Linked DNA regions of Danio rerio. The protein of the gene in region 1 purifies or fractionates together with the protein of each later gene. This does not show direct contact. Links are inferred from orthologs where the notes say so. Each region holds a gene or a part of one and is shown in the gene's direction. Other genes may lie near its edges. The genes, in order: cul4b, cops4, glmna, brwd3, cop1, trpc4apb and dcaf8.

The links.
Region 2: the proteins of cul4b (region 1) and cops4 purify together in Homo sapiens (affinity purification with mass spectrometry; 9 studies listed by BioGRID and IntAct, with this or other methods). This does not show direct contact. The link is inferred for Danio rerio from reciprocal best matches to the Homo sapiens genes CUL4B and COPS4.
Region 3: the proteins of cul4b (region 1) and glmna purify together in Homo sapiens (affinity purification with mass spectrometry; 3 studies listed by BioGRID and IntAct, counting the BioPlex papers as one, with this or other methods). This does not show direct contact. The link is inferred for Danio rerio from reciprocal best matches to the Homo sapiens genes CUL4B and GLMN.
Region 4: the proteins of cul4b (region 1) and brwd3 purify together in Homo sapiens (affinity purification with mass spectrometry; 3 studies listed by BioGRID and IntAct, with this or other methods). This does not show direct contact. The link is inferred for Danio rerio from reciprocal best matches to the Homo sapiens genes CUL4B and BRWD3.
Region 5: the proteins of cul4b (region 1) and cop1 purify together in Homo sapiens (affinity purification with western blotting; 4 studies listed by BioGRID and IntAct, with this or other methods). This does not show direct contact. The link is inferred for Danio rerio from reciprocal best matches to the Homo sapiens genes CUL4B and COP1.
Region 6: the proteins of cul4b (region 1) and trpc4apb purify together in Homo sapiens (affinity purification with mass spectrometry; 4 studies listed by BioGRID and IntAct, counting the BioPlex papers as one, with this or other methods). This does not show direct contact. The link is inferred for Danio rerio from reciprocal best matches to the Homo sapiens genes CUL4B and TRPC4AP.
Region 7: the proteins of cul4b (region 1) and dcaf8 purify together in Homo sapiens (affinity purification with western blotting; 7 studies listed by BioGRID and IntAct, counting the BioPlex papers as one, with this or other methods). This does not show direct contact. The link is inferred for Danio rerio from reciprocal best matches to the Homo sapiens genes CUL4B and DCAF8.

What each region holds. Positions count from the first base shown.
Region 1 is NC_133189.1:38,063,572-38,067,868, forward strand, and holds the start of cul4b (cullin-4B), read left to right. Parts: upstream 1-1,497; 5' UTR 1,498-1,937; coding exon 1,938-2,400; intron 2,401-4,297.
Region 2 is NC_133185.1:12,012,889-12,017,174, forward strand, and holds the start of cops4 (COP9 signalosome complex subunit 4), read left to right. Parts: upstream 1-1,486; 5' UTR 1,487-1,554; coding exon 1,555-1,628; exon of another isoform or gene 1,629-3,605; intron 3,606-3,848; exon of another isoform or gene 3,849-3,878; coding exon 3,879-3,958; intron 3,959-4,286. UniProt on the Homo sapiens protein: Component of the COP9 signalosome complex (CSN), a complex involved in various cellular and developmental processes.
Region 3 is NC_133177.1:11,252,415-11,255,914, forward strand, and holds part of glmna (glomulin, FKBP associated protein a), read left to right. Parts: intron 1-1,599; coding exon 1,600-1,849; intron 1,850-3,500.
Region 4 is NC_133180.1:23,679,229-23,682,728, forward strand, and holds part of brwd3 (bromodomain and WD repeat-containing protein 3), read left to right. Parts: intron 1-1,918; coding exon 1,919-2,047; intron 2,048-2,134; coding exon 2,135-2,360; intron 2,361-3,500. UniProt on the Homo sapiens protein: Plays a role in the regulation of cell morphology and cytoskeletal organization. Required in the control of cell shape.
Region 5 is NC_133177.1:38,101,960-38,105,459, forward strand, and holds part of cop1 (E3 ubiquitin-protein ligase COP1), read left to right. Parts: intron 1-1,905; coding exon 1,906-1,987; intron 1,988-2,089; coding exon 2,090-2,206; intron 2,207-2,286; coding exon 2,287-2,404; intron 2,405-3,173; coding exon 3,174-3,298; intron 3,299-3,500. UniProt on the Homo sapiens protein: E3 ubiquitin-protein ligase that mediates ubiquitination and subsequent proteasomal degradation of target proteins.
Region 6 is NC_133198.1:21,678,178-21,682,458, reverse strand, and holds the start of trpc4apb (transient receptor potential cation channel, subfamily C, member 4 associated protein b), read left to right. Parts: upstream 1-1,481; 5' UTR 1,482-1,496; coding exon 1,497-1,619; intron 1,620-3,422; exon of another isoform or gene 3,423-4,281. UniProt on the Homo sapiens protein: Substrate-recognition component of a DCX (DDB1-CUL4-X-box) E3 ubiquitin-protein ligase complex required for cell cycle control.
Region 7 is NC_133177.1:41,035,514-41,039,013, forward strand, and holds part of dcaf8 (DDB1- and CUL4-associated factor 8), read left to right. Parts: intron 1-294; coding exon 295-435; intron 436-771; coding exon 772-866; intron 867-2,742; coding exon 2,743-2,853; intron 2,854-3,471; coding exon 3,472-3,500. UniProt on the Homo sapiens protein: May function as a substrate receptor for CUL4-DDB1 E3 ubiquitin-protein ligase complex.

The sequences.
Region 1 (4,297 bases):
TATGTTTTACACAGCAAATGCCTTTCCAGCTGCAACCCAGTAACACCCATACACTCTCACATACACTCATACACTACAGCTGATTTAGTTTATTCGATTCACCTATAGAGCATGTCTTTGGACTGTGGGGGAAACCAGAGCAAGAGGAAACCCATGCAAACAAGGGGAGAACATGCAAACTCCTCACAGAAATGCAGCCGGGACTCGAACCAGTGGCCTTCTTGCTCTGAGACGACAGTGCCAACCTCTGAGCCACCATGCAGCCTTAAGCAACTAATAAGCAGCATATTATGTAAAGTATAAAAACTAAATTAAGACTTTTTTAATTATAAAAAATAATATTAATGATAAGGCAACAAGGTCTTACTTTTAGATTTTTCACTTGTTTGATATCTTTTGACAAACTGGGGAGAAATTGACATTTGTGGACACCATTTAATACAAATAAAACTTTGTTATAAACAAGGTCATAACATTCATTCTTTTCGGTTTAGTCCCTTTATTAATCTGGGGTCTCCACTGCAGAATGAACCGCCAACTTATCCAGCATATTTTTTATGCAGCGGATGCCCTTCCAGCTACAACGCATCACTGAGAAACACTCATACACACACATGCACTACGGACAATTTAGCTTACCCAACTCACCTGCGCATGTCTTTGGTCTGTGGTGGAAACTGGAGCACCCGAGGAAACCCACGCAAACACTGGGAGAACATGGAATATTTAGTATTAGTATCTCAAAACTTTGGGGGGATTTTGAGTCTGGTTTGGCTACAACTTCTTCTGTTTCAGCTAATAGAATGATTTTTAATAGCAAATCCTATTTCGACATATTTTGGGGAAATGCTTAGAAAATGTTCAAAAAGTCAGCAATACACATTGGGCAAATTTACTCCCCTTTTGTTTTGTTTGTTTTTGCCTCATTGACTTCCATTATAATGCCATGTTTTGATTGCAAACCCATGACTCAAAATACTCATGTATTCTAGATGGTTGGTAGTTTTCCTTTTAGGAAGATGTTTTTTTTAATTGTTGATCATCAGTTGCAGTGCAAAAAAAGCTTCTTCCCACTAAAAATAAAAAAATGCAGCTCAGCTCTCAGAACATAGTAACCAGTAAGTGTATTTATGCACACTATGCTGTTTTACTCCAAGGAACTTCTTTTAAAAGCCAGAAACTTTTTGCAAAGGCCTATCTATGCTGCCACTTGGCGATGAACAGTAAATATTTCACATTTTACCTCTTCCCAACGGGGAAAGCCACCAACAATCAACAATGCATACGTTATCATCGCTTAGCAATAAAAATGTCATTTTAATCAAAGTAAATAGGACAAAAAAAGCTTCAAATATAATGAAAGGGTGGTAATTTGAACAGTGCACAGGGGTTCCAGCGTTTAGTCTGGTCTAGACTGCTCGTGGTGCTTTGGCGTCCTCTGGTGGCGCATCGGAGCAGTTAGGCCTTGCGCTTATCCAACGTGCCTCAACAGCAGCTGCGCAGAGCAACGGTCGAAAGTACTTCCGGCGGGTCAGCGTCGCCTCTTAGAAAAGTTACTATTTCCCCGCGGACTTGGACAAAAAACCTAAAATACCAACCAGTCTCGTGAGCGGACAGACGGCGTCCGGCAGAATGCTTTAACGCAAACAGCCCTCGGCGAAAAGCAGCTTGTAATCCAACGGACTTTGTGCCGCGCGCCGGAGTGTGCTCGAGCGAGAGGAAGCAGTATTCAACCATCTTTCCTCTGCTGGCAATAACAAGAACAGAGAAGGGTCCAAGTGGGGCTGCACTTCTCAATTTATCTTTTTTTTCCTCCTTATCCATACACGGAGCCGAGAGCTTGCACTTCCCCCGACCGAGACCGAGGAATAGAAAGCGTCCGCACCCGGGATCGTAGCATTAGTAGATTAGCGATTTGATTTAGTATTTCTTTTTTCATGTTTCCAACAGGTTTACCTTCCCCTAATCCCCCACCGCCAGCCCAAGAGCCCAGACCGGCAGCTTCTGATGTTCACAACGACAGTAGCTTAACGTCTTCTAAGAAGAGGAAAATCAACAGTTCAGACAAGGAAGACATTGATTCAATATCATCGTCTCCTAAAGCCATCTGCAATTCCTCCTCCACAACGTCCTGCTCTTCCAGTTCACAACAACAGCAGCAACAACAGCACATCCAGAAGAAGTTGAGGTTCGAGGACCCGCTGGATTTGATCGGACTGGATGTGAAGATGGCCGAGGAGTCCTGTAACCCATCCGAATCCTGTTCAAAGGCGAGAAATGTGTTTCTGCCCGGCGGTGTTGGGCATCATGCTAACGGACTGACCAAGTCTGCGGGCTCCGCTACCTTCTCCAACAGTAAACCCGGTGCTGCGAAGAAACTTGTTATCAAGAACTTTAAAGGTAGGCGATAAATCTGTAATAATATAAGGGAAATATATTGGGCTGTCTTTTAAAACTTAGTTAGCTGCATGTCTAGACTGCGTTTATGGCCAAACGCAGTTGTGAAGTCCATAAATGAGTGGTGAAGCCACGGCCTCATGTAAAGGTAAACAACTGCAAAACCTCTTTATAAAAGGAAATGTAATGACACTGTCACAAATGATAGCAAAGATCTTTCTATCTAAACATAATTATTATAGACTTTAACTAGCTTTTATGAAGATAAGCCACTTTTGCTAACAAAATCTCACTGCTTGAGTATTTGTTTATGGATATTACCCGTTCATTTTCATTTCATTGTATGTATAATTTCAAAGAGATTTATAAAGTACTGGTAAAACTATACAATGTGATCTAATTTGGTAACATTTTATTAATTCAACTAAAAATAAAAGCATCAGTGCATTTATTAATCATAGTTGATGTTTATAAAAATGCTCATAATGCAATAACTAATGCTAACAAAGTTTTGCTAATTTTTGATGGAGAAACTAGATGGAATTAAAATTTAGCATAATAATAAATGTTGCAATATTTCTGGTTCTACAAATATAACCGGTTCATGCTAACATATTTTAAATTAATTGTAATAATGTCAACAAATGAAACATTGTACATTGTTACTAAAATGTTTTGTGCTTTTAGAGTGTATGGTGCTGTTTGTCACTATTCCGAGGCTCATTCTCTGACAGAGTTTTTTTTTTTTACGAGCAAAGCATATTTTATTTTAAGTATTTTGTATCAAATGTTAGGTGCATCTTTTATCTCAGTAGCCATAAGTTTGAAACTTAATTATAATTATGTTCCTTATAATTGAGCATTATTGGGATAATTACTAGTTCGCATGTATGTATAGTGCTCAGCATAATTGAGTACATGTGAGAAATATTATCTATTTTCATCCAGTGAATATGGGTAATAAACATTGGTGCATTTGAACAAAACAGATTTATTAAACGGATATATTTATTAAATTATTTTTTTTAGTCAAAGAACATCTTTAGAAATGGAAAGACAATACAATTAAATTCATTCAAAGTATTGCAAAAAAAAAAAATGACAAACTACAACATTTCAACAAAGTTGTTCAAAATATTATATGTTGTTTAATATTTTTCCCTAACATATCAATTTGGGCTACTAATTTTTAAACCTTTATTGTAAGTTATTTTGTTGGATTTGCTCCAGATTTGGAATCAGTACTGACTAAACTAATGTTTATGCACAAATATAATATTGTAAAGCATCCTACAGGACATATTAATTTAAATGAGAGATTTGTGAAGGGTGTACTCATATGCTGAGCACTGTACTTTTAAATATTAACACAATGTCGAACATAACGCTAAAAAACAAATAGTTTAATAGTGCAACAACTGAAATCGGATTTACTTCACTTGAATCTAATTCTAAATATAAATAATTGCACATTAAATACGTTTTTTTTTTTTTTCAAAATGAGAATCCTTTGTCTTCTGGGGGCCTGTGATAAGTGTTATAAATCTCTGATAAGTGTTTATATTAGGACTATTTTGGATCTGTGGGGCAAGTCCCTGCTGCAGTGCATGCATAATTTGTCATATCTCTGAACAGAGAGAAGCAGCAGTTTTATTAATTTAAGGGCCACGAAAGTCCTCTCTCTCAGCAGGTTGTTTTCACACCACGAGTTTGAAAAAAGCCAGGAAAGTGGGTGGGTCCAGATGTGTTTAGGTGGGAGTGTTGAGTGCCAAAAGAGGGAAGGGTTTGCATAAAAAGGAGAGTTTCGCTACATGCACACACTAATTTTCACAGCGGCAACACAAACGCAGGGGAGATAGACAGTGATTCGGAGAGCAACATTTACAGCAGATCTGAGAGC
Region 2 (4,286 bases), on another chromosome or scaffold:
CCAGCCAAGGCTCGAACCAGCAACCTACTTGCTGTAAGGCTATTGTGCTGTCAACTGTGCCCCCGTGACACCTTTATATTATATTATATTATATTATATTATATTATATTATATTATATTATATTATATTATATTATATTATATTATATTATATTATATTATATTATATTACATATGTGTGGCTATAGTGTATGAGTGTGAACGAGTGTGTTTAGATATTTGCCAGAACTGGGTTGCAGCTGACAGGGCATCAGCTGTGTAAAACATATGCTTGGTAAGTTGGCAGTTCATTCCGCTGTGGCAACTCCTGATGAATGAAGGGACTAAGCCGAAAAAAAATTAATGAATTAATTAATTATATTATAGAGTTACTGCAGGGAAGAGTGAAGGAGGCAGATCTTTATTGATCCTTACTATATATAAAATCTCATCAGGAGGCTGTTGAGCTCAGAGTAATAATAAAATATCTGAAACTAAAAACACGAAGATGTCTGAGAAAGATTTCTTAGAGGTTCAGTTACTAAAGGTTCAGTTTTTATGTTGTCTTTAGAATATTAACTAGGTGTAATTTATTTTATCAATTATTAATTCATCATTATTCAATTAATATTACTACTAATATTATGTCTAAACCCCCCAATGGGTGTGTTGCACCTATTTGTATTGATGAATTTTAGACATTTACAATTAAAATTAATTAAATAAAATTTTGACAAACAAATTGATATAATAAATTAATTTATGTTCACATTTATGTTCACATTAATAATAATAATAAATAAAATGTTGCACACACACACACACACACACACACACACACACACACACACACACACACACATTTGATGCACAAGATTTGATTAACAAGAATTATTTATTAAAATCCCCAGTTAAATTGTATTTTATTAACACCTACCCCATTCCTAAACTCAAGCATCAAAGTGATGGTAAAACACCACGTATTACCCATATTATTCATTAAATTACCCATTAAACTGTATTTTATTAACGTCTACCCCTATCTAACCCTAAACCCAACCAATAAAGTTATGTGAAACAGTAATTATACCAAGTATTACTCATAATATTTATTAAATTACCAATTAAATTGTATTTTATTAATGTCAACACCTACCTAACCCTAAATACAAACATCAAAGTAATGTAAAAACAATAATTATATCAAGCATTATTCATAATATTTATCAAATTACCCATTGAACTGTATTTTATTAATGCCTATCCCCCCTAACCCTAAACTCAATCAATAAAGTTATGTAAAACAGTAATTATACCATTATAATGTAAAAAACTGTCATTATACCAATTATTACTCATAATATTTATTAAATTACCCATTGAATTGTATTTTATTAATGCCCATCTCACAGTTATGTAAAATATTAATTAGTGTCACAAAAATGATGCTATCCGCAGCTGTATCCCACATAGACTTTACCGCCCTCTAGTGTGTTGTTCAGTTGTCGTCGGTTCTCTGTGTTGTGTGGCGCCCTCTGCTGGCCCGCAGGTTTCGCTGTTTAAGTGCGGAGGAAAATGGCGTCCGGCGTGAGGCAGGAGCTCGCACAGCTGATGAACTCTAGTGGCTCTCATAAAGATCTAGCTGGGAAGTATGTGGTTTCAAGTCATTTGCTAATATCGTTACTGTATGTCTTTTGCATTTGGGTGTTATTGTGTGATTTTCTATATAAAGGTCTGTGATACTGCAAATGATATGACTACAGGCTAACATTAGCAAGCGTGTGTAATACTGAGGATCTACCTGTCAACATGCCTACATCAATAACAATCATACAAGTTATAAATAGTAAAAGCTATTAGAATCATTAGCATATTTGTATGCAAATGTCTTTGTGAATTGACTAATATAATTTGAAAACGATAGGAGGAGTACGTTAATGCAAATACAGTTAGCCTACAGAATTTAAGACCCCATTAAATCAAATCGTTTGGTTCAGTAATTTTGGTTTGAGATATTGTATATCCAAACGTAGACCTAAAAGTTGACAATATAGTTGTCATTTGACAATGACATTTGAAAAAAAACCGTTTGTTTTTTAAAACCAAAATACTGATGACTCATCTTGCATTTAGGGGCGTGTCTACGTTTTTGTCCAATCAAATTTTATAGGATGAACAAGCCTTACCCTCAGCATTATTAAAATGTGTGTCTGAATATGTAGACTTTTATATTAGGCGAAAAGAAAAAGTTGAATAGACAGTAATAGTTCATTGTATTTAAAAAAAAACAGTAGGGGAGAGCAGGAATAAAAGAAACGTGGGACAAAAGTAACAAAGTGATTTTCTCGAAGCCCTGAAAACATTTGATTTACAGGCTATAACAACACATTTAGCAGCATGCAACCCTTAATGAAACTGCTAAATATACAATTTTGGGGCCGTGTCCTGCAATGAGCTCTAAATTTCTGTTTGAAAGTGCAAAATGTAAATTATTGTAGTGGTTTGTTGTATTTCTCTTTTCATGCATCACCGTAATGATCAATCTGCAGGTTCTTTAGTGCAATAACAATTCCTTGATTTTGAAATGTCTGAGTTTTGCAGTTTAAAAGGTAAATTAGGTTTACTGTAGGGATGAAAGTAACACTGTTATTTATGTCCCTCTGCACTTTTTCACTTCCATATTAGTTTTCAGTGTTTTGACTCTTGACTGTTTTATAAGATTAATGCAGATTGCCAATAATAATAATAAAATATTCAAAAATTTTAAGAAAATATAACATTTTGCATTGTTTGATTGCTTTTGAAACATTTTATGGAAGTAAAATTAAAAATTAAGGTGCAGTTTAATATTTTTTTTGCAAAAATAAAGGACAAAATATGCCTGCAGTTAACATTAACAAGGTCAAAGTCAGATACAGTGGTGGAATGAGTACTGAAAAATCAAAAGTACATATTTTTTAAATTACTTGGTAAATTACAATTTCTGAGAAAAGTTACTCACAGTAATTTGAGTATTGGTGATTTGTTACTTTACACCACTGGTCAGATATATTTAAAATAAACACGATTAAGCCGGTAAATCTAGCAAATATTGTTGTGTTACTTTTGACTCACCTGTGAGTTTTTTTTCGTTCCTGTCAAAAGTAGCTGTGCAACTTTTGTGTAAAGTGACGTTATATTGGTGTTGTTCTACATTATACAAAATAACACCTGATTTTGATTGATCACTCTTATGAGTTGGTAACCTCAGCAAAATATATATTTCCGCTAAAAACATTATCTTTTTAGAGTTAGGTTTATATGCAAAATGTTACTTTCATCCCCGCTGTCCCCTATGCAAAAAGGACCAGAATAACATGCTTTGTATGCTGAGATTCTGAGGTGTGTGTCGAATCAAAACTTTTCTGTCTCACTAGGCCACAGGAGAGGATTTGTGAATAGTAGTGGAGCGACACAAGTCACACAGCCCATATGAAATTGATCATGACTATATTATAGTAAAAGTGTATTAAGCATTTTTTTGGTACACTGATGATTAGCATTTGTATAAACAAGACTTAACCACAAATAAACACCAGGAATAGATTTAAATTGGTGTCAAAATCCATAGTTGATTTGTGGTTACTGTGGTTTGCTTAAATAATGATGATTTACATATATTCTGAAGATGAAGTTCAAGTTTAGGTCATATGACCGTGGCAACATTGTGAATGGGGATGTAGAACTGTTGATTGACAGCCACTAAGAATTCACCTTAACAAGCATTTAAAGCTGCATTTGATATATTTATCACTTTATACAGTACAATATAAATCCAGTCATCATTATCATCCAGTAATGTCAACACAAGTATAGTATAATTTTTGTAGCTATAATCTTTGTCCTCCCTGTTTTCACAGATATCGTCAAATATTAGAAAAGGCTCTACAGTTTACTGATGCAGAACAACTTGAAGCACTGAAAGCATTTGTTGAAGCGAGTAAGTATACTAGTATTCAAGTACTAATATTCTGATTATAAACATTCACTTGCCTCTTTACTAATTACACCTTGCTGTTACTGGTTAGACCCATTTTGATTTCAGAACTGCTCGTTCTCATGGCTTAGAATAGTTTTAGCAAGGATCTCATATTATTTCTCAGAATTTTTGGTCCATATTTACAGGACTGTATCACACAGATGATGCTGACTTGCTGCCTGCATGTTCATTATGTAAATCTCTGTTGAGATTTGAAGGTTTTGTTTAATTTACAATAAATGGACTGAAATGCTGAAAACGGAGATGTGGCTATCAACAATCGATCTCT
Region 3 (3,500 bases), on another chromosome or scaffold:
ACAACACATACATTTTAGAAAGGTTTTTATTTTAAATTAGCAATCAACAGGACCCAAAATATAGCCTACAAAGCATAGATAACGATTTACCATGCGGGAAAAGTCATGCATTTAAAAGATAATTACACATCCCGTCCCTGCACTATATAAAACAATTCATATCAATTTGTAAAATAAACTTTACAGTGTTAATACATCACCTGATGTCAATCAGCTGCTGCAACATTGCTTGCATATTGTTGATAATTTTTGCCTCCGTTTCATTTGGTTTATTCGATGCCCTCATTATATCTGGCAAAGAGGAAATTGCATTCATTTTAATGTTTATTAGGAGTTTTCAAATAAAAAGCCAACGGTAAATGATGTATATAAATAATATATAACATTTACACCTCTATTTGTTATATAAGATTTGGTTTCTAGAACGTTAACATTTTATAACAGCAAGTTCAGTAGATTAACTCAATAACATGTCAAAACTCAAAATGTCAGAGACGTCCTTTAAATCAATTTTATATAACATTACAGGAGATCAATGTAGGTGTCGGCTAACATTAGTTTTGTCTTCCTAATTATTATTTCAGACTCGTAAAGAGAATTACTGCTAGATAGCCATCACCTGTATTTTCCCCGTCATGGCTAACGTTGGGCGTGTATCAGCAAACTAATAAAGCCAGATAAAGCCCTGACCTTACCGAAAAAACAGTGTTCCACCAGATCCTGTAGGTCAGAAAGTATAGTTTACTGCTGAGCCCATTTTATTATGGTAAAATAACACAGAAATTGAAAATTAACCTTTCAATCTCCTGCCGAAGCTCTGACGGTCAGCTTTGAGAAGCTGTCAATCAGAACTGTCAATCACGATGACACGCCCAGCATTAAATTACTGCTAAAAACATACTGTTTACAAAAATGAAGATCTGCACCTATTTCAGCATGATGACCAGTGCCCCTATTGACCAAAACCATCTTTCGGGACATTTTATTGCAAGTGTAATAATTTTTTTTTATTTGGGCTCAAGTCTCGTTCATTAACACGGAGGAGGCATGCTTTATGACTTATACTGCAGCCAGCTCCCAGGGGACGATTTAATGGCTGAAACCTTCATTCAAAAGCAGGCGTGTGGCACACATCCATTCATTCATACTCATACACTACAGACAATTTAGCCTACCCAATTCACCTATACAGCATGTCTTTGGACTTGTGGGGAAATTGGAGCACCGGAGGATTCCCACGCGAACACAAGGAGAACATGCAAACTCCACACAGAAACGCCAACTGACCCAGCCGAGGCTCGAACCAGTGGCTTTCTTGCTGTGAGGTGACAGCACTACCTACTGCACCACTGCGTCACCCTTCTGTTAAACATCATTTTGGAAATATTTGGAAAAAAAGTGAAAAATCACAGGAGGGCTATAAATGTTGACTTCAACTGTATATATATATATATTGCACACTCCAAAATCATATAGATCTTGCATTGCCTGGTGGTAAAAAAATAATTAGGTTGTATTTATAAACATCCTACATGACACTTTTTGCATTTTGAATGGATCCTAAACTTAATGTGTACTTTTTTTGTCCTATCGTTTCAGTGCTGCTGCGTCTGGGCATTAGGAAGGCCTCGTCTGTGGGTATGGCTCTCTCCACACTGCTCTCGCAGGTCTCCAGGCTGCCAGTGCCTGTCACAGCAGAGCAGGAGGAGGACGATGTTTTCGGCTTGTGCCGCTGCTGCTCTGCTCTTCTACAGTTTGTGAAGCCCTTTGTTGAGGAGATCAAGGAGGTTGTCAAGGATAACAACAGTATATCCAAAGACAACGAGCTCAGAGTGGAACTGCTTAAGTTGTAGGTACCCATTCATAATGTCCAGAATCATGTAGATCAGTGTTTCTCAGCCACGTTCCTGGAGGACCAACAGCACTGCATGTTTTGGATGTCTCCTTTGTCTGTCACACCCATTACAGGTCTTTCAGTCTCTGCTAATGAGCTGATGATCTGAATCAGGTGTGATTGTTTAAAGAGACATGGAGTATTTGCAGAGCTGGTGGTCCTCCAGGAATGTGGTTGAGAAACACTGATGTAGACTATATTTTTGGACTTTGTTAAAAGAGTAGTTTACCCAGAAAGGAAAATTTACCTATTCTCCTTTTGTTACCAAACTATTTTAGTTTTTGTTTAAGTTTTTTATTCTGTTTAACACAAAGGAAGATATAGTGAAAAATGTTGAGTGCCATTGACTTCATTGTGTTTTTTGCATTTACTCTGGATGTCAACAGTTGTTTTTTTTTCTTTTTCTCAACATTTTTTTGAATATCTTTCTTTGCGTTCATCAGAAGAAGAAAAACCATAAGAGTTTAAAACCACCTAAGTGTGAGTAAATGAAAATGATTTCTTTTTTGGGTGAACTATCCCTTTAAGGATAAGTCATCATAAAACAACACCCAATCTTGTCTTAGAACAATTTTTGTAAACTTTTTTGATCCGCTTCAAAGTTTGACTAATGTACTGGCATCATATAAGTTACTAGTATTGGTCTGTCTTGGCTTAACAGTGTATACTCTTTCCTTTATTTTTATATATAAATGACCTTTGCTGGCCTTTTACTCAGACTGTGTTTAGACTTACAATCACACTTTATTAGGTAAACCTTACTAGTACGGGGTTGGACTACCTTTTGACTTCAGAACTGCCTTAAACTTAGTGGCATAGATTCAACAAGGTACTGGAAATATTCCTCAGAGATTTGGTCCATATTGACATGATAGCATCACGCAGATTTGTCGGGTGCACATCCATGATGCCAATCTCCCGTTCCACCACATCCCTGTCCTGTTCAAGAAACCAGTCTGAGATGATTCGCACTTTATGACAAGGTGCGTTATTCTGCTGGAAGTAGCCATCAGAAGATAGGTACACTGTGTTCATAAAGTAATGGACATGGTCAGCAGCAACACTCAGGTAGGCTGTGGCATTGACACAATGCTCAATTGGTACTAATGGGCCCAAAGTGTGGCAAGAAAATGTCCCCCCCCACCATTACTAAACCACCACCAGCCTGAACTGTTGAGACAAGGCAGGATGGATCCATCCTTTCATCCTGTTAATGCCAATTTCTGACCCTACCATCTGAATGTTGCAGCATCTTCTATTGTTCAATTTTAGTGCGCCTGTGCGAATTGTAGCCTCAGTTTTCTGTTCTAGCTTACAGGAGTGGCACCCGGTGTGGTCTTCTGCTGCTGTAGCCCATCCGCCTCAAGGTTCTACATGTTGTTCGTTCAGAGATGCTCTTCTGCATACCTCGGTTGTAACGAGTGGTTATTTGGGTTACTGTTGTCTTTCTATCAGCTGGAACTAGTCTAGCCATTCTCCTCTGACCTCTGGCATCAACAAGGCATTTGTGCCCACAGAACTGCCGCTCACTGGTTTTTTTTTTTTGGGGGGGGATTTTCTCGTATTTCGACCATTCTGTGTAAACCCTAGAGATGTTGAAAATCTC
Region 4 (3,500 bases), on another chromosome or scaffold:
AAAAGTCGTTTAGAAAAGTAAAGAAACCTGACTTCAATGAGCCAGACTAAACGTCCACGCCTAAATTGGTTCCATAACAAGTTGAATATCATTTGATCTAACTAATCTTAGATAAGAATAGACTAGTCGTGAAACCTTAAAGGTCGAGCGTAAATGCATCTATAATGTTGTGTGCCACCATGGCAACTACGAGAACTGAACGAGTGCTGAAATAAGACCGCTGTGTTCACAGTGAGTGAGCTGCATTTGTTTTTAGACTTTAAACAACTAATAATTTATTTAAAGCAAGAGAGAAGGCTGACAGGAAATTTCAGATGGCCTCTATAGGCTACATATATACCAATATATTTTAAAATATAGGCCATTATTTAGGCCTATTATTGTTGAATTATATATTTGTCACAGTACGTTGAAATTGTGCTTGTATGCGCAAGAAAGGATACGCGCTTTCTGCCATTTGTCGCTTGCAAGAAAAAGTTTTAATGCATTGCATACTGTCACATACAAAATATGTTTAATGTAAGGACATTAAGTTTAAAATAATGGCAACAAAGAGCCGTGCACGCACAAGCGGCAGGATTTTTAATTTGCTCCCGAAACCGCTGCAAATTGCTGCTTTCCCTTTGACATGTGTATTTCCTGGGCCTCGTGGGAAAGTATCTTTATACTAAAGTGAGGCTACTGCTCAGCCCAGATCCATCTCCTGATTATTCCACTCAGGGTTTGATGCTTTTTTGATTTCTGTAAGAAATGTAGTCTGTAGAGGGGAATCAGCATAAACTAAAACAATATAGACATTTTGTTAAAATGTTGTAGTTCCTATTTGTTTAGTTTGAAATAACTTGTTTGAATTTAAATATATTATTGTTCTTTTCTAAAATATGTTGGTAAAATAAAAAGAGAGTTTACGCTTGCTATAATTTGTTTCGAGAGAGTGTTTATTCAGTCAGCCATATTTCTGCAAGTGGTGCTCACTGCAGAGCCATTTGGGCAGAGCTGAGCTCCAGCGAGGGGGAGCTTGAGCTCTCACTCCTCCTTTTTTGCACTTCTTCTACGAGTGATGTCACTGGGGGTAGGGTTAGGGGTGGGGTTGGTGTACGCATTAAAATCGCTTATAGGAGGAGGAGCGAGAGTTCATGCTCCCCCTCGCTGGAGCTCCGCTCTGCTCAAATGGCTCTGCAGCGAGCAGTGTCTCTATTTCTGTAGAACCCCCTCAAGAGTGATACCAATTCAAGGAGAGGAGGTGTTGCAATATATATTTACTATTAAGTGACTATAAAATGTTAATCATTTTTAAGAGGTTAAGTTAATTAAAATGGCATCAAATTATGGCAGGTGAATGTTAACATGAATTTGATTAAGCTTAAACTTAAGACTTAGCCTGAGAGTTAACCTGCTCTGGACCAGGCTAGTTTCCCAGCATAAGTTGCCAGAGTAACTGAGTTTGAACATTTGATTTATGAAACCGAATCAGCCATTAATAAACCCGACTTCCAAATTAAGCCTGGCTTTTTCTCCAAGCATGGCTTATGGAACAGCCCACAGGACAGTTTTCTACAACATTTAAAATCTTTATTTATTTATTTTTTGATCATTAAAATGGCATACTAGAATATTTTTTTGAAAAGTCATGCAAAACTAAACACTGAAAAAATAGATTTTTAAAATTCTGCAACTAAAATTAATTATATTATAATTATAATAATGAAATATTAACCCAGAAAACTATTTCAATTATTATAGGATTTCACATGGCTTTTAATTATATATTTTTAAGCAAATAAAAAATAAATGCAGACATTTTTGAAGAACAAGAAAAATTATTTCAAAGCCCATATTATTGCTCAGTCATTTATGCTACAGTCTGGCTGTTAATCTCAGCACTGCATTTATTTCCCTTTTCTTTTTCCTCTGCCAGATTGAGGGTCAGGGTCATGGTGCTGTGTTTGATTGTAAGTTTTCAGTGGACGGGCAGCACTTCGCCTGCACAGACTCGCATGGTCATCTGCTCATCTTCGGCTTTGGGTGCAGTCAGCCTTATGAAATGGTGAGTGTGTGTCTCAGATGTGTGGCATTAAGTGCAGTTGATTTAAACCACACATGTTCACATTTCAACGCTTTGCTCTGCTTTCAGATTCCAGACCAAATGTTCTTCCACACAGATTTCCGGCCATTGATCCGGGACTCTAATAACTTTGTTCTAGATGAGCAGACGCAGCAGGCACCACATCTTATGCCTCCGCCTTTCCTGGTGGACGTGGATGGAAACCCCCACCCTCCTCGATGCCAGCGCCTGGTGCCGGGCAGAGAAAACTGCAAAGAGGAGCAGCTCGTGCCCCAGCTGGGATACATGGCTAATGGTAAAATTATCAGGTGTACATGAATAAAATCAAATAATGGAAAGCCTCCCTGCATTTTTAGTTTATGTTTTGTATGTTAGGTTTTATTATTATTATTATTATCTTCTTTTTCATATTTAAATATCTTGTACACACGGGCACAATAAAACTGAACCCAATGCAAACAATGAGTCAGATTGTAGATTATGAAAAACAATTGACAGCTTTTAAAAATCAGTAAGTTAAACTAAAAGTTATATTGTAATGTTTGTAAACTTCTGCTTTGTTCAAGATATATTCACATGTTATCTTGTATTGAACGATACATATTGTTTATCCTAATAAATTTAGTTGTTTGTGTCTTAAAGGGATAGTTCACCCAAAATTGCATAGTTGCAAATCTTGAGTTTTTTTCTGCTGTTGAACACAAAAGAAGATATTTTGAAGAACGTTAAAAATGTGTAACTACTGAAATCCATAATAGGACAATCAAATACTCAAGTCAATGGTTACAGGTTGCCAGCTTATTTTGTGTTCAAAAGAGGTAAGAATTTGGGTGGGTGAGTAAACAATGACAGACTTTGCATTTTTGGTTGAACTATCCTTTTTAAGTAAATGTAAACCGTTAATATAAGAATAAATAATACATTTTATTTTTTATTTTCTCAGTGCATTCAATCTGAAAGTCACAGCATTCCAAGTAAACCTACTACCTTCTACTTATCCAAAAACTTTTAGTTTGATCTTTGCAAAATAAACTAATTATAACATGCATCATTTTACTACATTATACATACTGATGAAAAAAAATTTATTTTAAAGGGCCATGAAACCCCCCAGCCCTGTTTTTACACCTCTAGTTTGAAAAAGGTCAGAAATGTGGGTGAGTCCAGCTTTGTTTAGGTGGGAGCGTCGAGTGGTGAAAGAGGGAAGGATATGCATGAAAAGTCGTGTTTCAGTATGAGCACAACAGCTGATTTTTACGCTGGCAACACAAACGCAGACGCAGGAGAGATAGACAGTAATTCAGAGAGCAGCATTTACAGGCGATCTGAGAGCTGTGTGGAAGTGGAGGACTTTTAGTCCATGATATTGTAGTGATATTACTGTAAATCATTTGACTAAGGTATGTCTTTAAAAACTTAACACTGCTGACGATAC
Region 5 (3,500 bases), on another chromosome or scaffold:
AATTTACCAACATTACTGAGGCAAATCATTTTAATAGTCATAGACAAAAATATTTAAACAAAATATCCCATCTCTTTATAGTAAAATAAACATACGTTTTTTTACTCGTAAGCTTGGTAGATAAAATGGTACACAGTGTGTGTAAAATTGTGAAGTTGAATGACTACATTACCACTATGCAAAAATTTTTCAGATGGGGTGCTAGTAGCTGGGATGAACAAGAAAAGAAACCAAAAGGCCTCTCCGGCGAAAATGACAATGGTGTTCGGTCAACAGTCATTGATAGCGATTTTAACGCCCAGCCAAATTCTGAATATTTTTCTCTATAATTTTCACAGAGTATCTACAGAGTCTTTAAAAGACAAATTTCAAGATCAAAATTTTAGGTCTTAAAGTAATTTACTGAAATATTGTGTTGTAGGTCTTAAATCTTTTTAAACCAGGTATTAATTTTCCTTTGTCCATTTATAGCTACCCAATCACCAATAACCAATGTCAATTAAACTTTAAACTTTATTTCAAAAGGTTACTTTTAACTCTATTCACCGTTTAGGTTTCTTACAATAACAATTGTTTACAAGTGCGTTAAAAGGACAGATTGTTGTGCATAGATGTAGTTTATTATATATTTTTTAACTTTTAACTTTTACATTTTTATGCTATATTGATCTAAGAGCCCATGATACAGCAGAAATGTGTAAACATGAGATTCTAAAAGTGTGTGTTAATATTAGAGATGTACCAAATTTTTGGCTGAAAATGTTATGCCATTTAATGGACCTTCTAATTTTTGTGGCTTCAGTGATTGTAGGGGTTCTCTTTTAAATCTGGAAACATTGACAACTTGCATCAAATCTATATGATTATTGTTCAATATGGAAAATAATTATCGAGTTTGCATTTTTGTCATATCGCCCAGACCTAGTTTAAAGGGTATTAGAATAACCAAAACAACCTTTCAGATATTTTACAATGCAAAGACTTTTTTAATGCGCAAACTGAATTTGTTTGGTAAAAGTGTTTTTTCCATCATAGTTTACGCACATCTTTTCTTTTCGGATAAAAAGTTTCTCTTACTTTGTTATGCACGTACGCATTTCCAAAATTGATGCGCATCTTGGCATTTCCATCAACAGTTTTTTATGTACATTTCCAATTGTCTTCAAGTCTTACAACTGACTTAATGAAATGTGCAGAAGCCATGCTTTTAGAGGACAGCTGATGTAATTATGTGGTTTAAATTACATGCATACAAAATTAAATAATTGTTTGTTTCCCATTCAAATATTATAGATCTGTCAAATATTTTAAATGTTATAAACAGTTTTGTTGCTTAATATTGCATGGATACAGTCAGTCCTTTTTAACAGATAAAAATAACATGCATATAATAGCTTTAAAATAATTATTAGATGTATAAATACAGGCTGTTTTGTACATCGTGTACAGAAAAAAGACAGGTTTATTGTGTTTTTGTTTTAATTAATTGGAGTGATTATTGAGGAGTATATTTTGTGTTTGTCTGTCATATATTTTTACCATTATTTACAGAGGATAAAATTATAATTCAATGAAATAATAGTTTATATGCCATCTTCCCTCTCAGCCATATTTAAAACAGAAATTACTTTATCAAAAAGACTCTATTTAGGGGTCATAATTAGCCCCAAAGTAGTAATTACATGTAATTGAAAAATGTAATGCTCTGTCAATCCATGTTTTACTAATTTTTCTGCAGGTGGTTTTTAATCAATTAAAATATAATAATAGCATTTAGTATGATCCCTAAGTCAGAATATAAGAACAGGTCAGAATAATGCCTCGTCTTTGACACATAATATAATTTGCGAAACATTTATACTTAATCTATGTTAGACTCTGATTTGCTGGTTGGATTTTTCATAGGAGCATGAAAAGCGGTGTTGGAGTGTCGATTTCAACCTTATGGATCCCAAGCTCTTAGCGTCGGGATCAGATGACGCAAAAGGTATTCCCGCAACCGAACCGTTCCTATCAAGTTATTTGATTTATAGTTCTTACGAAGATATTCTTTTATAAATACTCATGAATGCAACTCGCTTCTCCCCAGTCAAGTTATGGTCCACCAACCTGGACAATTCAGTAGCCAGCATTGAAGCCAAGGCCAATGTATGCTGTGTTAAGTTCAGTCCAACCTCTCGATATCATCTTGCCTTCGGTTGTGCAGGTACATAATTCATTTTAATCTATTAAAAGTTTGGCTTCCTGCAGAAGTCTTTTTAAAACTTTGTTTTAAATCTTTTACAGACCACTGTGTGCACTACTATGACCTGAGGAACACTAAGCAGCCCATCATGGTTTTCAAAGGCCACAGGAAAGCAGTATCCTATGCCAAGTTTGTCAATGGAGAAGAAATTGTCTCTGCGTATGTATACACTCAAAGTCCTTGTGTTTTTTTTTTTTTTCCTTTATCAGTAGAAATAATTTGAGGACAAAAGTCAGTGGAAGAAGTTAAGGGTAGATCTGTCTCTATTTTTTGTTGTACTATATATATTGCAGCAAGATATATTGCTTTTTAAGACCATTTTATGCCACTCGTTATATAATAAGAGTATAATAGCATCACAATGCTATTATACTCTTCCGAAAAACACATAATATTTTATTCTTAAGAATATTTTAACAATTTAAAAATTGGGTATTGTAATCAATATAGGAAAACGCATATCCAAAATTATAATGTTAGCTAATAGTGCAAGGTAAAAAGTAACACAGGCTAAAATATCTATATATATATAATATTATATATAATATAATATAGTCTAGTACCAGATCTATTTTCAGTTGTCAAACATCCACAAGAAAATACACTAATTTATAGTAAATACTATAGTGTTTTTTTTTTACCATAATGACACTGCCAGCTTCAGTAGAGATGTTGCACAATCAGCTAAAATTTTGCTAGAATTGGTTTTTATGTATGGGCTATAGTGCTTCACCAAAAATGTAGAAAATAAAATAAAATAAATTAAAATAAATAAAAAAATAAAATAAAAAAATATAAAGATATATTTAATGTGAGTGATCATTCATGGCTTATAAGTATTGTGTTGAAAGTATAATTACAAACTAAATTTTAGAGTCTTGATTTTAAACTGAGATCAGAGTTAAATTGTGATACACTGTGTTCACAGCTCAACAGACAGCCAGCTGAAACTCTGGAACGTGAACAAGCCTCATTGTTTACGCTCTTTCAAAGGCCACATCAATGAGAAGAACTTTGTGGGTTTGGCATCAAATGGAGACTATGTAGCATGTGGTGAGTGGCATGATATGACATTAATTAAACAACAGAAAGGTTTGCTTTTGGCATTTTGGTTTATAATCAAAGCTATGATAATGCGATATATAAAGTCAAGGCTGGAATTATTCAAACCCCTGGCAAATTCTCACAAAGTTTTTGTTCAAATGTTTATAAAAGCCACAATAATGCATCTTGTACACAGTCTTATTATCTTTTA
Region 6 (4,281 bases), on another chromosome or scaffold:
TAGGTTAAACATAAAACATTTGTGGTCATATAAACAGCTATAAAAGCTGAACTCTTAAAAATGAATCTCTATTAAGAAAAGCCTAAAAGCCCCTTAAATTCCCAAAGATGGCAGCTCTCACTGCATTTCACCTTTTTATTTTACACAAAAACAGATCAAATAAAGGCAAAACTCACCAAGTGTGACCTAAATCCAGCAGATGCCAAGAGTGTATTGACTCTTTGAATGTGTTTTCAGGTTTGCAGCTTCCCTCCTCCCTTTTCAGCTCCAGTAAATTGAAGTATTTTGTGGACTTGATTCAGAACCACCCATTTCCTCGACTCAGGGCTGGTTTTTGTCGTCCTCCACTGTGTGTGTTCAGGAAAGGCATGAGCGCAGACACACGTCTCTCTTTCCTCGCCGTGCTTTATCATCGGAGAGGGTGTGTGTTGAGTCTGTATCGTCTCTTTGATCTCCTCTGATGATGCGATTGTATGTTTGGCCTCCATTCATCATCGCCCAAGAGATGAAGTCATGGTCATTTAACAGGCCCCAAAATGGGGGAAACTACAGGAACCTCCATGATTATTTGTCTGGTGTGTGCAGTAAATGCTGGTGGATCAGGAAAAAAACTATTATTTCTATATATTATCTATATATCTATGCTGTTTGCATAACAAGAGCATGCGCGTACTGTAAATTACAGTACAATATTTTCATCACTGACAATGGAAATATTTGTAATTGCATTTTTAAAAATTCTTTATTTTAAATTAAGTTACTTAATTATAGAAGTTATTTTATACAATATATACAAGTAGTATGTAGGCCTACATATAAATATTATCAACATAAATCATAAACATATTATACATATATCATTTTTAATATGGCAGCATGAAGGCTCAGTGGTAAGCACTGTCGCCTCACAGCAAGAAGGTCGCTGGTTCAAGCCTCAGCTGAACCAGTTGGCATTTCTGTGTGGAGTTTGGATGTTCTCCCCGTGTTGGTGTGGGTTTCCTCCGTGTGCTCCTTACATGTGCTATAGGTGAACTGGGTAAACAAAATTGGCCCTACTGTTTTTGTGTGGAAATAAGTGTTTATGGGTATTTCCCAATGCTGGGTACTGGGAAACACTAAGTATATGGATGCTCTTAGTATTCCCAATGCTTAGAGCATCCGCTGTGTAAAACATATGCTGATTAAAACTTATGCTGGAATAGTTGACGGTTCATTCCGCTGTGGCGACCTCTGATATAGAGACTAAGCTGAACAGAATAATATAATCGATCATACAAAAATAATAGTGTAGGACCTTCCAAAAGAGAAACAAATAAACAATTCTAAAATGTTTGAACATCATATTTGGTTTCCCAATAAAGCCTGTTATTTGTAGAGCTCCAGATATTCCGCAGGTTGTAGTTTTCTTCCAGTCCAGCAGGAAGCAGCAGCAGCTCCATCTCTCCCCCGCTGGTTTCGTGGAAACTTCTCAACGTCACGACGTCAGAGGAACAGCAATGGCGACAAGAGGCCCTGGGTTTTCTCGCACCCAAACAAGACGAGGAAAACCATGCAAAAACATCTTTCATAAAATTCGACAAGGCCAAGTCACCGGCGAGGGGTTAACTAGAGGATCACAGGTGAGATTATAAATGACATAAATGTCTAAATCGGCTCCAAAGCGTTTCTTTGACACTGTTTACATTTGAGGGCCCGAACAGCACTCCATTTAAAACACCTCTTAATCTGAAATACAGAACATTTCATCGAGTTCAAAGCGAATTATGATGTGTAACGGTAACGTTAGATGACTAATATGGTGTGGTTAGATTTAACTTTTTAATATGTGAAATTATCTTCCTGCTACTCAAAATATGTTGTTGACTGATTCTGGAGACAATTTAGGTAAACTTGGTTTAACTGTTACGCACATTCGTTCAGTGATAACTGTGACATGCTCCCTATATTGTATACCATGGTACTTTGAATAATGGATCTGAAATCACATACAAGTAACGTTATGTCTTCAAAGCAGCATTAACACTAACGTTATTTATTTGACTGTAAACAGTGTTTTACTTTGATATTCCCTGGCTGCTAAAATGATTTCACTATTAAAAATTTGTAAAGAATACTTTTCTGAAATTAAATTACTGAGAAAGTCTGAATGTGCGAATATAAAATAAATTTTACCTTAGTCTTTAGTCATGAAACAAAACGGGTCCAGTAACTGTAACTGCTATTACGGTAGCTTTAGAAGTATTTTACATTTAAATGTTATCAGTATTAATATAGACATTATATTTAACACAGCTATTCCAATGAATCATGTTCATCATCATATGAACTTGCACTCACAGGCCACTTCATTAGGTACACCTTACTAGTAACAGGTTGGACCCACTTTTGCCTTCAGAACTGCCTTAATGCTTCCTGGCATAGACTCAACAAGGTACTGGAAATATTCTTCAGAGATTTTAGTTCATATTGACATGATGGCATCACGCAGTTGCTGCAGAGTTTTCGGCTGCACATTTATGAGACGAATCTTCCCTTCCACCACATCTCAAAAGGGCTCTATTGGATTGAGATCTGGTGACTGTGGAAGCCATTTGAGTACAGTGAACTCATTGCCATGTTCAAGAAACCAGTCTGAGTTGCGCTTTGACATGCGCCCACAGAACGTCCGCTCACTGGATATTTTCGCTTTTTTGGACCATTCTCTGCAAACCCTAGAGATGGTTATGTGTGAAAATCCCAGTATATAAGCAGTTTCTGAAATACTCACACTAGCCTGTCTGGCACTTACAACCACGCCACGTTCAGAGTCACTTAAATCACCCTTCTTCCCCCATTGTGATGCTAGATTTAAACTGCAGCAGATCGTCTTGACTATGTCTATCTACATGCCTAAATGCATTGAGTTGCTGCCATGTGATTGGCTGATTAGAAATTTGTATTAACGAGCAGCTGGGCAGGTGTACCTAATAAAGTGGCCGGTGAGTGTATATCTCTTATTGTCGTTTTAATACATCTAAATCAGTGCATCTACACACAATAAAGGGTCCAGTCATTCAAATGCATAAAATTGATAATGTTATTTTTTAAATTCAATTCAATTTATCTCTATTTTTATAACGCTTTTACAATGTATATTGTGTCAAAGCAGCTTAACATAGAAGATTAGAGTAAATTGAAACAGTGTCAGTCCAGTTTTTAGAGTTGAAGTTTAGTTTAGTTCAGTGGGGTTTAATTTTAACTGCTTATAGTTCAAAAATGGAAGAGCAAATCCATCGATGGGCAGCTCCACAAGTTACGAACCATGCAAGCCAGTGGCGAGGAACAAACTTCACCAATTGATGAAAGTGAAAGAAAAAAACCTAGAGAGAATCCAGGCTCAGTTGGGCACAACCATTTCTCTTATGGCCAAACTTCTTGTGCAGAGCTGCAGTCTAAGCAACGGAGGCTGGAGAAAGCTGGACGTCCATCACGGAGAAGCTGCAGGTTTCTGGCTGATGTACAGCCTGGCCCTTCAGGATCAATGCAAGGATTCGTCTGTCACTGGGGTCTTACAGGAATCAGTCTCACGCTCTCCACTCCTCCATAACCACCACAGCAGCTGCTCAGGATACAGCCTGGTCCAATATTATGGAAACCAGAATAATAAAAACAGACTAACTAACAATTCTTTAGAGGATTTGGATTTGAAAAGCATTTGTGTTTTATGTGTATGCTAATGCAAAGAGATGTGTCTTTAATCTGGTTTTAAACTGACAGAGTGTGTCTGCTTCCCGAACTGTGCTAGGAAGGCTGTTCCAGAGTTTAAGTGACAGATATGAGAAAGATCTACCACCTACAGTTGAATTTAATATTCTGGGAATAATCAATTGTCCAGAATTAATTGAGCATCCTCCTGGATGTTAGGGGGTTGTAATACACCAGAAGCTCCCTCATATACGGGGGAGCTAAGCTGTTCAGGGCTTTGTAGGTAGTAAATTTTTTTAAATTATACAATATTTAATAGGGAGCCAAGCAGTGATGAAATAGAAAGAACAATGGTTTAACAAAAGTAATATTTAATGATGTCTCATATCAAGCTAAATCTGTTTTTCAAAGATAGCTGTATGTTTTAAAAGCTTTCAAATGTGTATCTTCTTTTTATGCCAGCATTTTCAGGCATTTATTAAGTGGTAATAAGTCAATCAAAATGAGGGGCAGATGTAACCCAGCCCAACTCTGCATAGTACATTATTGTCAGATATTTTCATGTATGTTTTATATATTTTTATAATATTTTAAATA
Region 7 (3,500 bases), on another chromosome or scaffold:
CTTTCAGTCTCTGCTAATGAGCCGGTGACCTGAATCAGGTATGTTTGGTTAAGGAAACAGGGAAAATGTGCTTAGCTGGTGTTTCTCCAGGAACTTGGTTGAGAAACACTGCTTTAGGGTATTTTAAAAGAGTTTAGAATCTTTGCATTATTAAAAATTGTATAGATCTATCTATCTAACCTGGCTGTACATTTCGATCCAGTTTAAATTGCTGTTGTGTTTTTGTTTGACAGAAACCACTTTTTTTTTTTAAATGTAGAAACTTCCCTCTTTTATTTATTATTCTGTCCCCAGGCAAAGTTCCTTCCACACAGCGGTGACTCCACATTGGCCATGTGTGCCCGAGATGGACAGATCAGAGTGGCAGAACTGTCTGCCACACAACGATGCAAGAACACCAAAAGAGTGGCTCAGCATAAAGGTGCAGCTCATAAGGTATGAGTTTTGTTGAATTGTTTGACAGAAATACAATACAATACAATCTGAATTCAAAGATTAAGACCTAACAGTTATTATGATGTGTGGATTTGCATTAAATAATACTTAAACCATGGTTACCCTAAACCAATCAGCTTTGAAATCTGTAACTGCTTGGAGCTGTGCAGTTGCATATGTTTGATTAATCAACAGTGTGCAACATCTTTTAAAGAATCAGAAGAATAATTCTGTAACTAAAGCGATTGTTTTATTGGGTTTATGGCGAGATGTAAAAAGAGATTGCAATCAAAAAATCACATGTGAATGCTTGTGACTTTTGTTTTATTTTCTTAGCTTGCACTGGAGCCAGACTCTCCCTGCTCTTTCCTCTCTGCTGGTGAAGATGCAGTAGTGTTCGGCATTGACCTGCGTTTAGACAGACCTGCCAAGTGAGTGCAAAGTCATGTCACAAACAGCCCTAAAATTGCCAGAGGAAAAGAAATGAAGCACTTCAGCCAAGCGACAGGAGCAGGATTAGATATCCTACAAAGAATTGTGTCAGCAGCTAGATGAGTCAGTGGAAGCTTCTGTCTCATGCTATTATATGGTTTACTTGACAGTGGTCCATCTCAACACTGCTAATGCTTTTGGGAAATGCCTCTTGTTAATTATTTTGCTTTCTGTTGGTATGCTATTAAAGAGCCCCTATTTTGCATTATAAAAGGTCGTTTTGGTTTTGGGGTCTCTAACAACAGGCTGATATGCATGCAATGTCAAAAAAACACTTTAATTTTCTTATAATATGCATTTAGTTTTACCTAATTATCTCAACGACTCCTATATGATTCGTTCAGCAATTTCATTTGTTCTCCTTAGCACAATGTTAATCGTGCTGATTGAACCAATGACACAGTCTGTCATGATTTGTTGACTGTGTTCAGCGCAAGATGGAGAGTAATGCCCACCATGGCTATGAAGTAGCACACAGAGTATATGAAAGCCCAATGCAGAAATGCAATAAAGCAATGCAGTTAAACACCAACATATTAGTCTATTAGTCGTTTAGATTGGTAAGAAGCATGGTAAATTGGAAGGAGCATGAGTCACGTTTTCAACATGGTTTTGGATGCAGTATGTAAATAGCCCCATGAAGTTTTAACCTAAGAGGTACAATATAAGCATAGATCTATAATAGATAAGTGATTACAAGCTGCTCGGGGTGACACACAATTTAATACATATTTTGTAGGCTGTCCCATACATAATAGTCTCTGCTGCTCCTTCCTCTAATAGCAAACCGCCAATGAAACCCGTGTTGCAGTGTAGGTTATTGTATCAAAAATACTGTACTGCGGTGGTGTTGTGAGAATAAACTATTACCACCTATTCCCCGCAGCCGAATCTCCATCTGTCAGTGATCGTCATCTTAGCATCATGATCAGTCCCCGCACTCTGCTAGTGTCTAATGGGAAAGTTGCGTTCACGTTTTACCATTTCGCCACTTCTTATTTGGTGATGTACCGTATCGATGTTGTTGCGTTCAAGCAAAAGCTCCGAACCCAATACGATTTATTCAATTGACTCTGAGTCGACTATTTCGTAAAAGAATCAATCATTTTCAACACGGTGCAGTTTCAGATATAAACCTGAAAGTGCTCATTTACTTGTTACACACTGCATAGAAGATCATTTTCAAAAACCCATAATTGAGGCTTTTTAAAAAAAACTCTGCATTTGTTAAATTAACAACGTGCTATATTTCAAATGTTTAAGGCTTGAAAGATTTTTAAAAAAAAAACATAATCAGTTAATGTGTATTTAACAATAATATTAAAGTGGTGTAAAACAGGACTATGTTTTTTCTTCAGTTTTTCAACATTGATCAAAAAATGTAAAGTTTCATGAGCACTTTTCCAATTTATTACATTATGAAGTTTCAAATGACGCAGAAGACTGAAGTAAATGCTATATTTCCATCACAGGAGTTAATTACATTTGAAAAAATGTATATTTTCTTTCTTTTTTCTCCACAAAAGTAATAATTTTAAACATTATAGTTGGAAAATAATGATATTTTAAGTAAACATAAAATGTTTTATGACATTTTAATTACTCCCAGAACTAATTTTTTTATCCTAAAATATATATTTTATGCTCCAGCAACATTATGGAATTTTCTGCAGCAGAAATGCAGTATTATGTCGGGGATAATTTTAGTGAAAGAAATGGCTGTGATTCATAGGATACATAACATGCTTTTGTTCTATATTAAGTATACACTCTAGCTTACTGACCTACCATTTTCCCATTTATTTTTATTCTCAGCAAACTGGTAGTGGTGAAGGAGGGTGAAAAGAAGGTGGGACTATACACCATTTATGTGAACCCAGCCAACACACATCACTTTGCTGTGGGTGGCAGAGATCAGTATGTCAGGTGAGATGAACAGTCGTGGTGGTGTCTTGTTTTATGGGATTTAAAACATGACCTAATATACAGTGCCATTTTATTTCTCTGTCTTCAACATTTCAAGGTGAAAGCTGTCAAGCATACCTGATCCTGTTGGGCTGGGCTGATAAACAAAATCATATTGAATGGCCATACAATTTATGTTGATAATGATGATAAGCTCTGGACATTTTTACTTGATCGTAATCATCACCAATGATCAGCCAATCACACTGCATATACATCCAACAACAGGAATCTAGAATTGTGTTGATATTAGAGATTCACTGAATTTTTGGTTGCCGAAAATAGGTCATGCTGTGTCTCCCAGTATTGGTTAGTACACTCGTTTTATTTTTCTGTCTGCAGTATTCGCCTTCAGTCATGGTTGGGATACTCTTTTAAAAGGGGAAGCATTAACAACTTATATTGAAATATATATTTAATCATTCAATACAGAAAAATAATTATCGAGATTATATTTTTGCCATATCGCCCAGCCCTATGATCCTATTATTTCTCCACTGTTAAGCTGCCAGAAGACAAAAAGGGCAGCTGTTCTGCATCGCTCACTGATTCTGTCTCTTCCTGTTTCATATGTGATAGGATCTATGACCAGAGAAAGATAAACGAAC